Arabidopsis thaliana: one gene and its partners. The protein of the gene in region 1 purifies or fractionates together with the protein of each later gene. This does not show direct contact. Each region holds a gene or a part of one and is shown in the gene's direction. Other genes may lie near its edges.

The links.
Region 2: the proteins of EXL2 (region 1) and AT2G34810 fractionate together in Arabidopsis thaliana (co-fractionation; one large-scale study listed by BioGRID). This does not show direct contact.
Region 3: the proteins of EXL2 (region 1) and AT5G19110 fractionate together in Arabidopsis thaliana (co-fractionation; one large-scale study listed by BioGRID). This does not show direct contact.

The regions. Positions count from the first base shown.
Region 1 is NC_003076.8:25,701,596-25,705,863, forward strand, and holds EXL2 (EXORDIUM like 2), read left to right. Parts: upstream 1-2,053; 5' UTR 2,054-2,384; coding exon 2,385-3,302; 3' UTR 3,303-3,744; downstream 3,745-4,268. UniProt on the Arabidopsis thaliana protein: May play a role in a brassinosteroid-dependent regulation of growth and development.
Region 2 is NC_003071.7:14,683,337-14,687,805, forward strand, and holds AT2G34810 (FAD-binding Berberine family protein), read left to right. Parts: upstream 1-1,833; 5' UTR 1,834-1,955; coding exon 1,956-3,578; 3' UTR 3,579-3,880; downstream 3,881-4,469.
Region 3 is NC_003076.8:6,410,914-6,414,945, reverse strand, and holds AT5G19110 (Eukaryotic aspartyl protease family protein), read left to right. Parts: upstream 1-1,634; 5' UTR 1,635-1,667; coding exon 1,668-2,630; intron 2,631-2,863; coding exon 2,864-3,226; 3' UTR 3,227-3,503; downstream 3,504-4,032. Other genes in the region: AT5G19120 (Eukaryotic aspartyl protease family protein), read right to left, coding at 1-361.

The DNA.
Region 1 (4,268 bases):
CTTTTTGTTAATCGTGATACGAAACATAATTAACCTCTCACAATTTTAAAGCTCTCCTTTAATATAAAATGATACTGTATTCACTAAATCATTCGACTAAACTAATCATTAATATAAAGTGGACATTCTTTTTAGAGCAAGTTTATCGTAAGCTAAGTCCACCATTGGCGATGTTCCTAAAATCGAAAATTACTTCTTCTTTTTTTTTTCAATTCGACGTACGCATAGTTAACCCCGACGCTCGAACTCAATATTGTGTGTTTCAAATGTTAACAAGTCAAGTATAACGATATATAAGGTTTTTACTCGACCTAATTATACGAAATTGTTTTTACGTTCAAAGCGCAATTATATTTTTAAAGAATCAAGAGCCAAGCTAAATGATGATCAAAGTGTGTGGTTCTATCCTACCAAAAGTGACCGGTGCATCCATCCAAGTATATACACGACAAAGTAAACTCATGTGTCACTCTTCAAAGTAAACTCATCCAAGTAACAATATTGTAACTTTTGCTATTCATTTATCACATAACTAGAGTAGAAAAATTTCACGTGAGAAGATATATTTTGTAGAGGCAGAGAGAGAGCTAAAGTGGATTACTACGAATCCTATTATGCTATTACTACGGAGTACGTCTGACACGTGACTTATCCTTCTTTTAAGTTTTAATAAACAGTACTTGTATATGGGCCTCACATCACATACCCTCGTTTGATTTTCTATTTTTTTTATTTTTATTTTTAGTTATGTGAGCTCCTCCACTATAGAAGAAAACATAAAAATCTTCTTTATGCCAAAAAAGATGGTAATACAAAATAAAACGTGTTTTTTTTTCTTAGTGTGGAATATATACTTTTCGTATAACTTTTTTGTTAAATCAAACCAAAAAGAGTTTTTCAAAATAAAGCAAGAGTGGACCCTGAAGATGTAAAAGGCAATAATGGACTGTAAGAGCGTGGTTCGTACGCTACGTCGAGGCGTATCTTGCTTACTACACGACTGAACTAACTACTCGAGTGCACCCGTATATTTATATACATACACCTTAAGCTATAAGTATATAACTATACATAAATACACACACTGTTCTAGAGTAAAATACGTATGAATCTGTGGTCCCCACGGAGACCTAAAGGGACCTCCCCCAAGTAAAGTTGATTATGGCACACACACGGTATCATCAACCTCTCTGTGTACCTTTCTTAAAATCAGTGGCGCCTCTATGGAAGGAAAGGAAGGAACCTTCCCTAAATAATCCCAAATCTCTTTAATTCATTTCTTAATATATAGAATTCTTTTTTTTGGTATCAGAACCGTATTATTAGAACGAGTAATGGACTTTTCTTCTATTATATGGTCAAACAATTACTGCTCAATGTATTTGCGTATAGAGCATGTCCAATACCATGCCTCATGATGTGAGATTGCGAGGCGGAGTCAGAGAACGAGTTAAAGTGACGACGTTTTTTTTGTTTTTTTTGGGCATAGTGTAAAGTGATATTAAAATTTCATGGTTGGCAGGTGACTGAAAATAAAAATGTGTATAGGATGTGTTTATATGCTAGACGGAAAAATAGTTACTCAACTAATACAGATCTTTATAAAGAGTATATAAGTCTATGGTTAATCATGAATGGCAATATATAAGAGTAGATGAGATTTATGTTTATATTGAAACAAGGGAAAGATATGTGTAATTGAAACAATGGCAAAATATATAGTCAAATCAAACTGGTTTCTGATAATATATGTGTTGAATCAATGTATATCTTGGTATTCAAAACCAAAACAACTACAACCAATTTCTTTAAAAAACCAGTTGATCTAATAACTACATTTTAATACTAGTAGCTATTAGCTGAATTTCATAATCAATTTCTTGCATTAAAATTTAAAGTGGGTTTTGCATTTAAACTTACTCGGTTTGTATTAATAGACTTTCAAAGATTAAAAGAAAACTACTGCATTCAGAGAATAAAGCTATCTTACTAAACACTACTTTTAAAGTTTCTTTTTTCACTTATTAATCTTCTTTTACAAATGGATCTGTCTCTCTGCATGGCAAAATATCTTACACTAATTTTATTTTCTTTGTTTGATAACAAATTTATCGGCTAAGCATCACTTAAATTTAATACACGTTATGAAGACTTAAACCACGTCACACTATAAGAACCTTACAGGCTGTCAAACACCCTTCCCTACCCACTCACATCTCTCCACGTGGCAATCTTTGATATTGACACCTTAGCCACTACAGCTGTCACACTCCTCTCTCGGTTTCAAAACAACATCTCTGGTATAAATACCTCTGTATATCTTTATAAACCCCAAATCAAAACCTCTCCTATATCTCTTCAATCTGATATAACTACCCTTCTCAATGGCTTCTAATTACCGTTTTGCCATCTTCCTCACTCTCTTTTTCGCCACCGCTGGTTTCTCCGCCGCCGCGTTGGTCGAGGAGCAGCCGCTTGTTATGAAATACCACAACGGAGTTCTGTTGAAAGGTAACATCACAGTCAATCTCGTATGGTACGGGAAATTCACACCGATCCAACGGTCCGTAATCGTCGATTTCATCCACTCGCTAAACTCCAAAGACGTTGCATCTTCCGCCGCAGTTCCTTCCGTTGCTTCGTGGTGGAAGACGACGGAGAAATACAAAGGTGGCTCTTCAACACTCGTCGTCGGGAAACAGCTTCTACTCGAGAACTATCCTCTCGGAAAATCTCTCAAAAATCCTTACCTCCGTGCTTTATCCACCAAACTTAACGGCGGTCTCCGTTCCATAACCGTCGTTCTAACGGCGAAAGATGTTACCGTCGAAAGATTCTGTATGAGCCGGTGCGGGACTCACGGATCCTCCGGTTCGAATCCCCGTCGCGCAGCTAACGGCGCGGCTTACGTATGGGTCGGGAACTCCGAGACGCAGTGCCCTGGATATTGCGCGTGGCCGTTTCACCAGCCGATTTACGGACCACAAACGCCGCCGTTAGTAGCGCCTAACGGTGACGTTGGAGTTGACGGAATGATTATAAACCTTGCCACACTTCTAGCTAACACCGTGACGAATCCGTTTAATAACGGATATTACCAAGGCCCACCAACTGCACCGCTTGAAGCTGTGTCTGCTTGTCCTGGTATATTCGGGTCAGGTTCTTATCCGGGTTACGCGGGTCGGGTACTTGTTGACAAAACAACCGGGTCTAGTTACAACGCTCGTGGACTCGCCGGTAGGAAATATCTATTGCCGGCGATGTGGGATCCGCAGAGTTCGACGTGCAAGACTCTGGTTTGATCCAAGGGATGTGAGTAAGACACGTGGCATAGTAGTGAGAGCGATGACGAGATCTAGACGGCATGTGTAGTCAAAATCAAGTTGCACGCGAGCGTGTGTATAAAAAAATCTTTCGGGTTTGGGTCTCGGGTTTGGATTGTGGATAGGGCTCTCTCTTTGCTTTTTGTCGTTTTGTAATGACGTGTAAAAACTGTACTCGGAAATGTGAAGAATGCATATAAAATAATAAAAAATCATTTTGTTTCTACTTTATCAAATTTAATAATGCATTCGGTTTTGCAGCAAGAATGATCAAAGCTTGTATTAGTACTAATTAATTTATTTAAAGGTATCTGACCTTTTTAAAAAATGTTAGTGGGTATAGAGGATAATAATGTTATTTGTTGTATTTAATTTTGTAATAAAATTGATAACTAAAGAAAGGAAGATGTGTTGGGGCCTAGGAGACCAAATTGATTGCTTTGTAAGTACTCGTTTCATATTATTAGTAACTTTTGAATTTTTTTATGCATGATAATATGTTATCTGTAACTACAAATCTATCCTTAACTGTTTTAATGGCGACTAAAGTTTGTTCTCTTTGAACTAAACAAATCTATCTTTATTTGTTAGGTAACAACAAATAACTAAACATTCAAATTTGGAAACTTCCGAATTCTTAAAGCAATCAAAATACCTCAAAATGGGGGTAATATTTATTATTGTCAGGTGAAAAAGTAATCTAGTGAATTTAATCACCGAAATTCCTACAAATTTTAGTAATTTAGGTATTAAGTATTTTCTGAAAATGGTCAGTGGGGTTGGTGAAGAAGTTCTTCTCCCTTGCCTCCGTTCTTTATGCCAAAGAAAACTTTGAAACATTTAAGTATCGAAAAGGCTCATCTAGATTCAATCAATCATTTATATGCCTTTTATTTTATTTATCAGTATGTAGCTTATATATACTGATTTTGATCATGACATAAT
Region 2 (4,469 bases), on another chromosome or scaffold:
GATTTTTAAAATCATTTTTTTAGCTGAGGAAAATTGTTACGAAAAAGTTTTTGGCAGGAATTGTTTTTTTTGGCGGGAAAAAAGTTTGGCGGAAATTTTTTTTTTGGCGGAAAATAAAAATTTTGGCGCCAAAAAATTGGCGGGAAAAGTTCAGTTTCCAATTACATGTTTCTATTAGATGAGGGTAATTTGGTCATTTTGTTCAAGGGAAAGGGTACTTTTAAAAATGGAAAACATAAAAGGGTATTGTTGCAAAAAAATAGTAAAAAATGGGTAGTTTTGCAAATCTCCAATCATATATATACTAAGCTTCAAACTAGTTTAGTTTTGATTTGTTTTCCGATCCTAAACTTGAATTAAGCTCATGATGTTGGGAGCCTATATAAATTATTAGAACGTGATATTCATGCATGGTGTATTCAAAGAATTACACATATATAAGAGAGACTAGGATAAAACTAATTACGTTTAGATAATACTAAATACTGAGGTATGTCAAGGATGCTCTAACATATTTGTTAGGTGGATCCAAATCCACTATGGTCGAAGCGGTGGGTAACCGACGCCAAATATTATATACTGTGCAGTTGTACAAAATGGATGAACGCTATATTCAGACAAATAAGTACTATAACAAAACAAGAAAGAACTCTTTAAGTACTTCAATTTTGAGCAAAGGAAAATTTCGAGAATAATGGTTTGTAGTAGCCCGGAGGGGAAACATTACCATTTTGGTCTAAACACTTCACAATAAACTTGAAAACAAAATAGCTAGACTAGCTAGAGATATATATGTTTAGTTTCATAATATGCATGTGACCTCATAATTAAACCTTATTTTGAAACTATAACTTATAAACAGATGAACTGGTCTTTCGATCTTTAACAAAAATAAAAATGAACTGGTCTTTCTTTTAACAAATTTCTGAATCTTGTGGGAACTCTATTGGATAATTGGATTCGTAAGCACAAATTGATCCACGACCACTACATTATACATATGCAGATATGTTAATGCTATAAGACCATCTCTTTTATTGTATGACTTTTGGAGATAACAGAAAAGGGAATCTTTTACAGATAAGAGTTTAGAGTAAAGAGAAAAGAAGCCTATTTGGTTGATTTTGATTCACTGATTAAAACAACACTTGTCTTTTTTATCTTTGCCTTCACGAGAATCATAACTACACTCACCGTCCTCGCCGATCAAAAGTCCTCGTGTGATAAGAAATTCATGTGGACAATTTTATTGCAGGTACGTATTTTTCATCAACTTATCCATAACGACACGTGTTGACCTTCTTACGTAGCTCTTCTGTATTTGATCGCCTTGGATTTGCTCTAAGACCTAATTTAATCACGCCACATGCAACAATTAACTACCAAGGGTCCCAAAAAAAGAAAGAAACACATACTACTCTATTTAATTTGATAATAAACAAATAAAGTCCGTTTAGTAGATTATGTTTTACATATAAAAACAATTAAAGTCCGTTTTGTTAATTATGTTTTACCTATAAAAAAAAAATTCACCAAAAAACATTAATCAAATCATATCCTAGTTGATCATTGGTGAGGTGACTGACAGGTCGTGGAATTCTGGCATCCTATCGTCGACAAATCTTAAACTAAAGTAACTCTTACTGTTACTTTTTAAATATGTCAAAGTAACCAATATCTTCTACGGAACTTATATCCAATTTGCATACTTTTACTCATACTATACAAAATACAAGCGGATATAAACAACAAAATAAGAAAACTACACTAATATCTATAGAAACTTCAAATTGAATTGAATATTATCGTGATATATATATATATATATATATCGCCGAATATTCCCTGGAAAATTAAATACAAAGACTATACTACTCTATTGGCTATAAATACACACACAAACCCAACAAAGCTATTTCATTATTCAAAAACCAATCACAAATAACAAAACGAAAATGAAGTTTTGGTCACGACCATTAACGTTTCTTATAATTATTATCTATCTCATAATTCAACAAGTCAACTCATCACCACCGTCATTATCTATACCGGAGCATTTTCTCCGATGCCTCGACACTCAACCATCCGACCACGGCAGTCCCAACTCAAGAACCGCCGTGATCCCAACAAACTCATCTTTCTCAACAAACCTAATGAACGGCGTCAGAAACCTCCGGTTCGCTTCTGTCTCCACAAGAAAACCAGAAGTTATCGTCGCCGCCGTCACCGAAACTCACATAAGAGCAACAATCTCTTGCTGCAAACTCCTAAACCTCGAGCTAAGAATCCGAAGCGGAGGCCACGACTACGAAGGCTTCTCCTACACTTCTCCGGTACCTTTCGTAATCTTAGACATGTACAACTTCAACAAAATCGATATCAACATGAAAGACGAAACCGTTTGGATCCAATCCGGAGCTTCACTAGGTCAGCTTTACTATAACATTGCAAGTAAAAGCAAAGTCCACGCTTTTCCCGCCGGAGTTTGTCCTAAAGTCGGCGCCGGAGGACATTTCAGCGGCGGAGGATTCGGTAACCTCATGAGAAAATACGGTTTATCCATTGATCATATAATCGACGCTCAAATCATGGACGCCAACGGTAAAGTGTACCGTAACCGTCAAGCTATGGGAGAAGACGTGTTTTGGGCTATTCGCGGCGGAGGCGGCGGAAGCTACGGAGTCATTCTTGCCTGGAAGATAAAACTCGTTAGGGTTCCGGAGAAAGTCACAGTTTTTAAACTAGAAAGAACGGTGAGAGAAGGAGCCGTTGATTTAGTTCATAAATGGCAACAAGTAGCTCCGGTTATCGACAGAGATTTGTTTATCCGGTTAGAGATTAAACCAATAAACCGGAAAATCTCAAAAGGTAAGACGATTAAAGTCTCCTTCATCGGAATGTTTCTTGGTTTACCTGAGAGACTTTTAAACATAACGAAACAGAGTTTCCCTGAGCTACATTTAACGAAAGAAGATTGTATGGTCAAGAAATGGATCGAATCTAGTGTTTTCTGGGCGAATTATCCAGAAAAAGCACCGATAGAGTTACTTCTCAAAAGAGTATCAACCAACGAATACTACTGGAAACGTACTTCAGATTTTGTTCAAGCACCAATCTCAAAACAGGGTCTTGCAAAGATTTTTCAAACAATGATTGATCATTCGCCACTTCCACGACGAGTTTGGATGCAATGGAATCCATGGGGAGGGAAAATGGCTGAGATAGCGTCTGATGCGACGGCGTTTGTGCATAGAGGTGGTAATGTTTTCATGATTGAGCATTTCATGAATTGGTATAGACCTGGAGATGAGCTTGAAGAGAAGTTCTTGGCGATTGCAAGAAGTTTTAAAGAAGCTATGGCTCCGTTTGTTTCCAAGAATCCGAGAGAAGCTTTCTTTAATTATAGAGATGTCGATATCGGAATTACTACGCCGGGGTATAATGCGACGTATGAAGGAGCTAAGGTTTATGGGGATAGTTATTTCAAAGGGAATTATTTGAGATTGGTTAAGATTAAAGCCCGGTTCGACCGGACTAATTTTTTCCGGTCTCAGCAAGGGATTCCGGTTCTTGCTTAGTTTGGTGATTGGTGAGTGTTTGAATTGATTGTATTGTTGTGTGGGAAGGAGTATACTATTAAGTTATTAAAAGTTGAAATTTGGGATCATATCCAATGAATCTATTGGGTATATATGTTCCTTAGTTGTTCTGGCATGGGCAGTTGATAATTTTGTGTTAAATAATGGTTTACTTCAATCTCCAAGAGAAGTTATGTGCTAAAATTTTTAATAATAAATGGATCGGAGTTGTATATCTCTAAGAGAATTCATTGATTATAATCAACAATATATGATTAGTTTTAGTTATAGCATAAATGAACAATATATGGTCTTTAATTTGCAAAGAATACTGATTGCAAAATCTTAAATAAATTTCATAATAAAAAATCAACCAGATTTTACGCGTCTTTTTAAACAAATATCATGTACTAATTTATCCGATGACAAACTATATTATATGATATCACTATATGTTTCTAAATCATAACCTAATATTATTTTATTTACAATTGGGGTCAAGTTTACCGCTAATTTAGTTATCTAGCAAAGAAGCCTAATAATTTTTGCATGAATCTATGCAACTTTTGTTTTTTTTTGTCAAAAACATAGTATGTCAGTATGACCGATGAGCGATGAACAAAATCATTGGGTCCATTGCAAAAAGTGTGTTTTTCAGAAATCTTGGCGCAGAGTCACAGATGAACACGTGATAGGATTTATATATTAAATGCTTGAACAGGACATGGTCGAGTTGCTTCCAATAATTGTAATGAGGTCACAGTTTTAACTATATGATATAGACTTTTCGACTGGTCGATCGGTCCAAACTGGTCCGACATTTTGGGATAGGGTTAGTTATAATTGTTAGTTCAATATTTTACACGTGGGCAAAATTCCGAGACTTTCTCA
Region 3 (4,032 bases), about 19 Mb from region 1:
TAACAAGTAATTCGCAATCGGCGTTTTGGTCTTTACGCGATGATGATGATGATGATACTCGTTCATTTCCAACTTTTGCCTTTAAGCAGCCGCTAGAGCTACCGGATATTAGGTTCCTTGACGAGGAAACATGTCTTGAGGAACAATCAAACCAGAGAATTGAGCCGGCCAGATCGACTACGAGCTTGACTGGATCCGGTGAGTCACCGAGTCGAATCTGTGCGAGGTATTGACCGGTTGGAAGGTCTTTAACAACAGGGAAAACGACCCCGTTAACGGAATCAGAGATCTGAGATTTAGAAATGATTAGAGCGGAGAGAAAAGAGAAGAAGAAGAGATTCAAACAAGAAGAAGAAGCCATTAGAAGTGTGTGTGATGAGTTTTAGAGGAAGGAAATGGATCTGGACGGTTTTTAAGGATTAAGCGTTATGGTTTGGGATGCGGTGGGCCGACGCTGGTTTATTGTGAATGTGAAAAAACTGAAACGATAAGGATTGGTTCATTTTAAGGTAAGTGCTGAGTAGACTTGTTGTGTCGTTTCGCTCTTTGGTGGGGACTTTTTCTTTTCTTTTTATTTTGTTTTGGTCAATGTTTATCCATTTTATTAAAAGCTCAAAAGAAAAAGGAGACGATTTGATGATTTTTGGCACGTGTGAAAGGATGTTTTATAGGAATATCCATAAAGTTTATACCCTATGCCAGTTGGAGTAGTTGGCTTGGTACTTGTAAATTTTGTGATGTTAACATGTATTATGAAATTAAGATTGGGCTCGTTTATATATGGGCGTCTTCAGAAACTTATATGGCCCAATGGTTTGCATGGCGTTATATATAAAACAAATCAACGGTCTTTAATAACGAAATAACGAGAGCCGTTAATGGTTTATTTGAATGAAAAATCATTTTTCTTCATACAGCATATGAACTTTACGATCCTGCAAGACTTTTTATGATCAGGTATAAAAGAATTCAACACTCATTTTGCATACATTACGTACCAATTAATGTTAAATGATACTTAAACTAGCATACTAAGATACACCGACCCATCTTTCTCCATTGTTTTCAAATAAAAATTAATTGTTGCAATATAAGCAATGTGGTGTTATGAAGATTAATATTGAGCTCATTTATACGTGGGCCTGGCAATATGGCCCAATATGTTTGGATTCGTTATGTAAAATTGTAAATTAAGTCCTTGTCGATGAAAAAATAGAGTCGTTAATGGATTATTTTAGCGAAAATCGTTTCTATTCCTATAAAATTGAAAATACAAATGATTTGATTTAAATTATAAGATCTTTCAAGACTTTCTAGTATGTATTGCTGCTATATTAAGGATTAAGATCATGCATAAAGAAGAACTCGAAAACTATTTGAAAAGAAAAGAATATGAATTGTGACATATACCCACCACGCGAGTATACTTGATCAGACCTCATTTTGCATAACATTATACGACTTCAGATGCACCGACTAATCTTCATTTTTTCATATAATTAATTGTTGTCATGTGTAACACATGCAAAAATACTCTCATTTTTTAAGATTCCGCGTAATTCAACTTTTAGGAAAACAAATCTCAACGCGAATCTCAAACATTCAAGAATACCATCACTTTTGTGTTAAAAAATGTACTAATCACCATTTTAATTCTTAGATCCAAAATGTATTTTACATCTATAAATAACATACATCGTAGTCCATCTCCATCACAAACAATCACATTCATCATTTCATTTACCAAAAAAAATTATAACCTGAATATAATAGAGATGGGTAGTAGCCTCACGCGCCTACTAGTCTTCCTTTCCATTTTCGCAGCCATAGCTCTGAAATCAAACTCTCAATACCTTCTTCCGATCACCAAGCACGAACCCACCAATCTATTCTACACCACTTTCAACGTCGGATCCGCCGCAAAATCTCCTGTAAACCTCCTCCTCGACCTCGGAACAAACCTCACGTGGCTCGACTGCCGCAAACTTAAATCTTTATCATCTCTCCGCCTAGTCACTTGCCAGAGCTCCACATGCAAGTCTATCCCCGGTAATGGATGCGCTGGCAAATCTTGTCTTTACAAGCAACCAAACCCACTCGGACAAAACCCCGTTGTAACCGGCCGTGTCGTCCAAGACAGAGCTTCCCTCTACACCACAGACGGCGGCAAGTTCCTCTCTCAAGTCTCCGTCCGCCACTTCACATTCTCATGCGCCGGTGAGAAAGCCCTCCAAGGCCTTCCTCCTCCAGTCGACGGAGTTCTGGCTCTTTCTCCCGGATCTTCGTCGTTCACGAAACAAGTGACGTCAGCGTTTAACGTCATCCCTAAATTCTCTCTCTGCTTGCCTTCTTCCGGTACCGGTCATTTCTATATCGCCGGCATTCACTACTTTATCCCACCATTCAATAGTAGCGATAATCCGATTCCAAGGACTTTAACTCCCATTAAAGGCACTGACTCAGGAGATTATCTAATCACTGTAAAATCTATCTACGTTGGTGGAACTGCTTTGAAGTTGAACCCTGATTTGCTAACCGGCGGAGCCAAACTCAGTACGGTGGTTCACTACACCGTACTTCAAACCGATATCTACAATGCTCTTGCTCAGTCTTTTACACTCAAGGCTAAGGTATTCAAAACAAAATATATTATTCATGTATAAAATTTCTTATCTCTTTATTGGAGTTCCTGTGGAGTGAACCATGATTTGAGATTTTTAAAATAAAATATCTTATTAAACGATTATTAGAAATGTGTTCCTTTAAATTATAACGTTGCTAATGTTATTTTTTTGTTGTATATAGATAAGCTGATATAACCTCTTTTCTGTCTTGTTTGTTTTGGTGTGAACTATATATACAGGCTATGGGAATAGCTAAGGTTCCATCGGTGGCGCCGTTTAAACATTGTTTTGATTCACGCACCGCTGGAAAGAATTTGACGGCGGGGCCTAACGTGCCCGTGATAGAGATTGGTCTGCCGGGGAGGATAGGGGAGGTAAAGTGGGGGTTCTACGGTGCGAATACGGTGGTGAAAGTGAAGGAAACGGTGATGTGTTTGGCGTTTATCGACGGTGGAAAGACACCGAAGGATTTGATGGTGATTGGGACACATCAGCTTCAAGATCATATGCTCGAGTTCGATTTCAGCGGGACGGTTCTCGCTTTTAGTGAGTCACTCTTGCTCCATAACACAAGCTGCTCCACTTGGCCTTCCCAAAAATAGAATCATCAGTCACTCATGATAGTATCACAGTTTTTGGTCTTGTATGACACGTTTTCAGCGACACATGTGTTCTAATCGAAATTTTAAGAAATTATCACCCGTTTCTCATAAATATCGTCTATGTTATTTTATTCAAATTTGATATTCGCTTGTTTTGATAAAAAATATTGTCTGAGGATTTTGCACATTAATAATTATCTAAAGTATTCTGTATTTCTTATTAGAAATTGCAATTTAGATTTGAAATTCAAAAGTTACTACAAAAAATGTATTGCATAAAATAAATTATATCAAAAATAAATGATGTTAATTTGAGTTACTTATTTATAACAGATACAAAATTTGATTTAACGTCAATTACAATAAGTAATGCCATAACTAATTATTTGACATCAACTAAATTAAATTGATACTAATCTATCTTAATTTGCATCATTGAAAAAAGATACAAAATAAAAACTAGCATCAATTGTTCAAATGATAGAAAGGTTAAATTATTTCAGAAAATAATGGTAATAAAATTACGAATTTAAGTGATTGATGCAAATTCACCTTTTTAGGAATTTTTAAAGTAAATAAAGAAGAAGACATATACTTGTCACAACAACACGTTCATGATAGTCTCAAAGAAGGAAAAATATGGACTTGTATGCCCTTAATTTCTCCGATGATTTCCGACAGAAATTAATGGAGATAGTAGTTTTGATACTAATTAGTTGAAATTATTTAAGATCCAATATGCTATCTGGTGAAAGAGCTACAAGGGTGTCTCATGGAATGTGGTAAGAACTCTTTGAGAACCAATT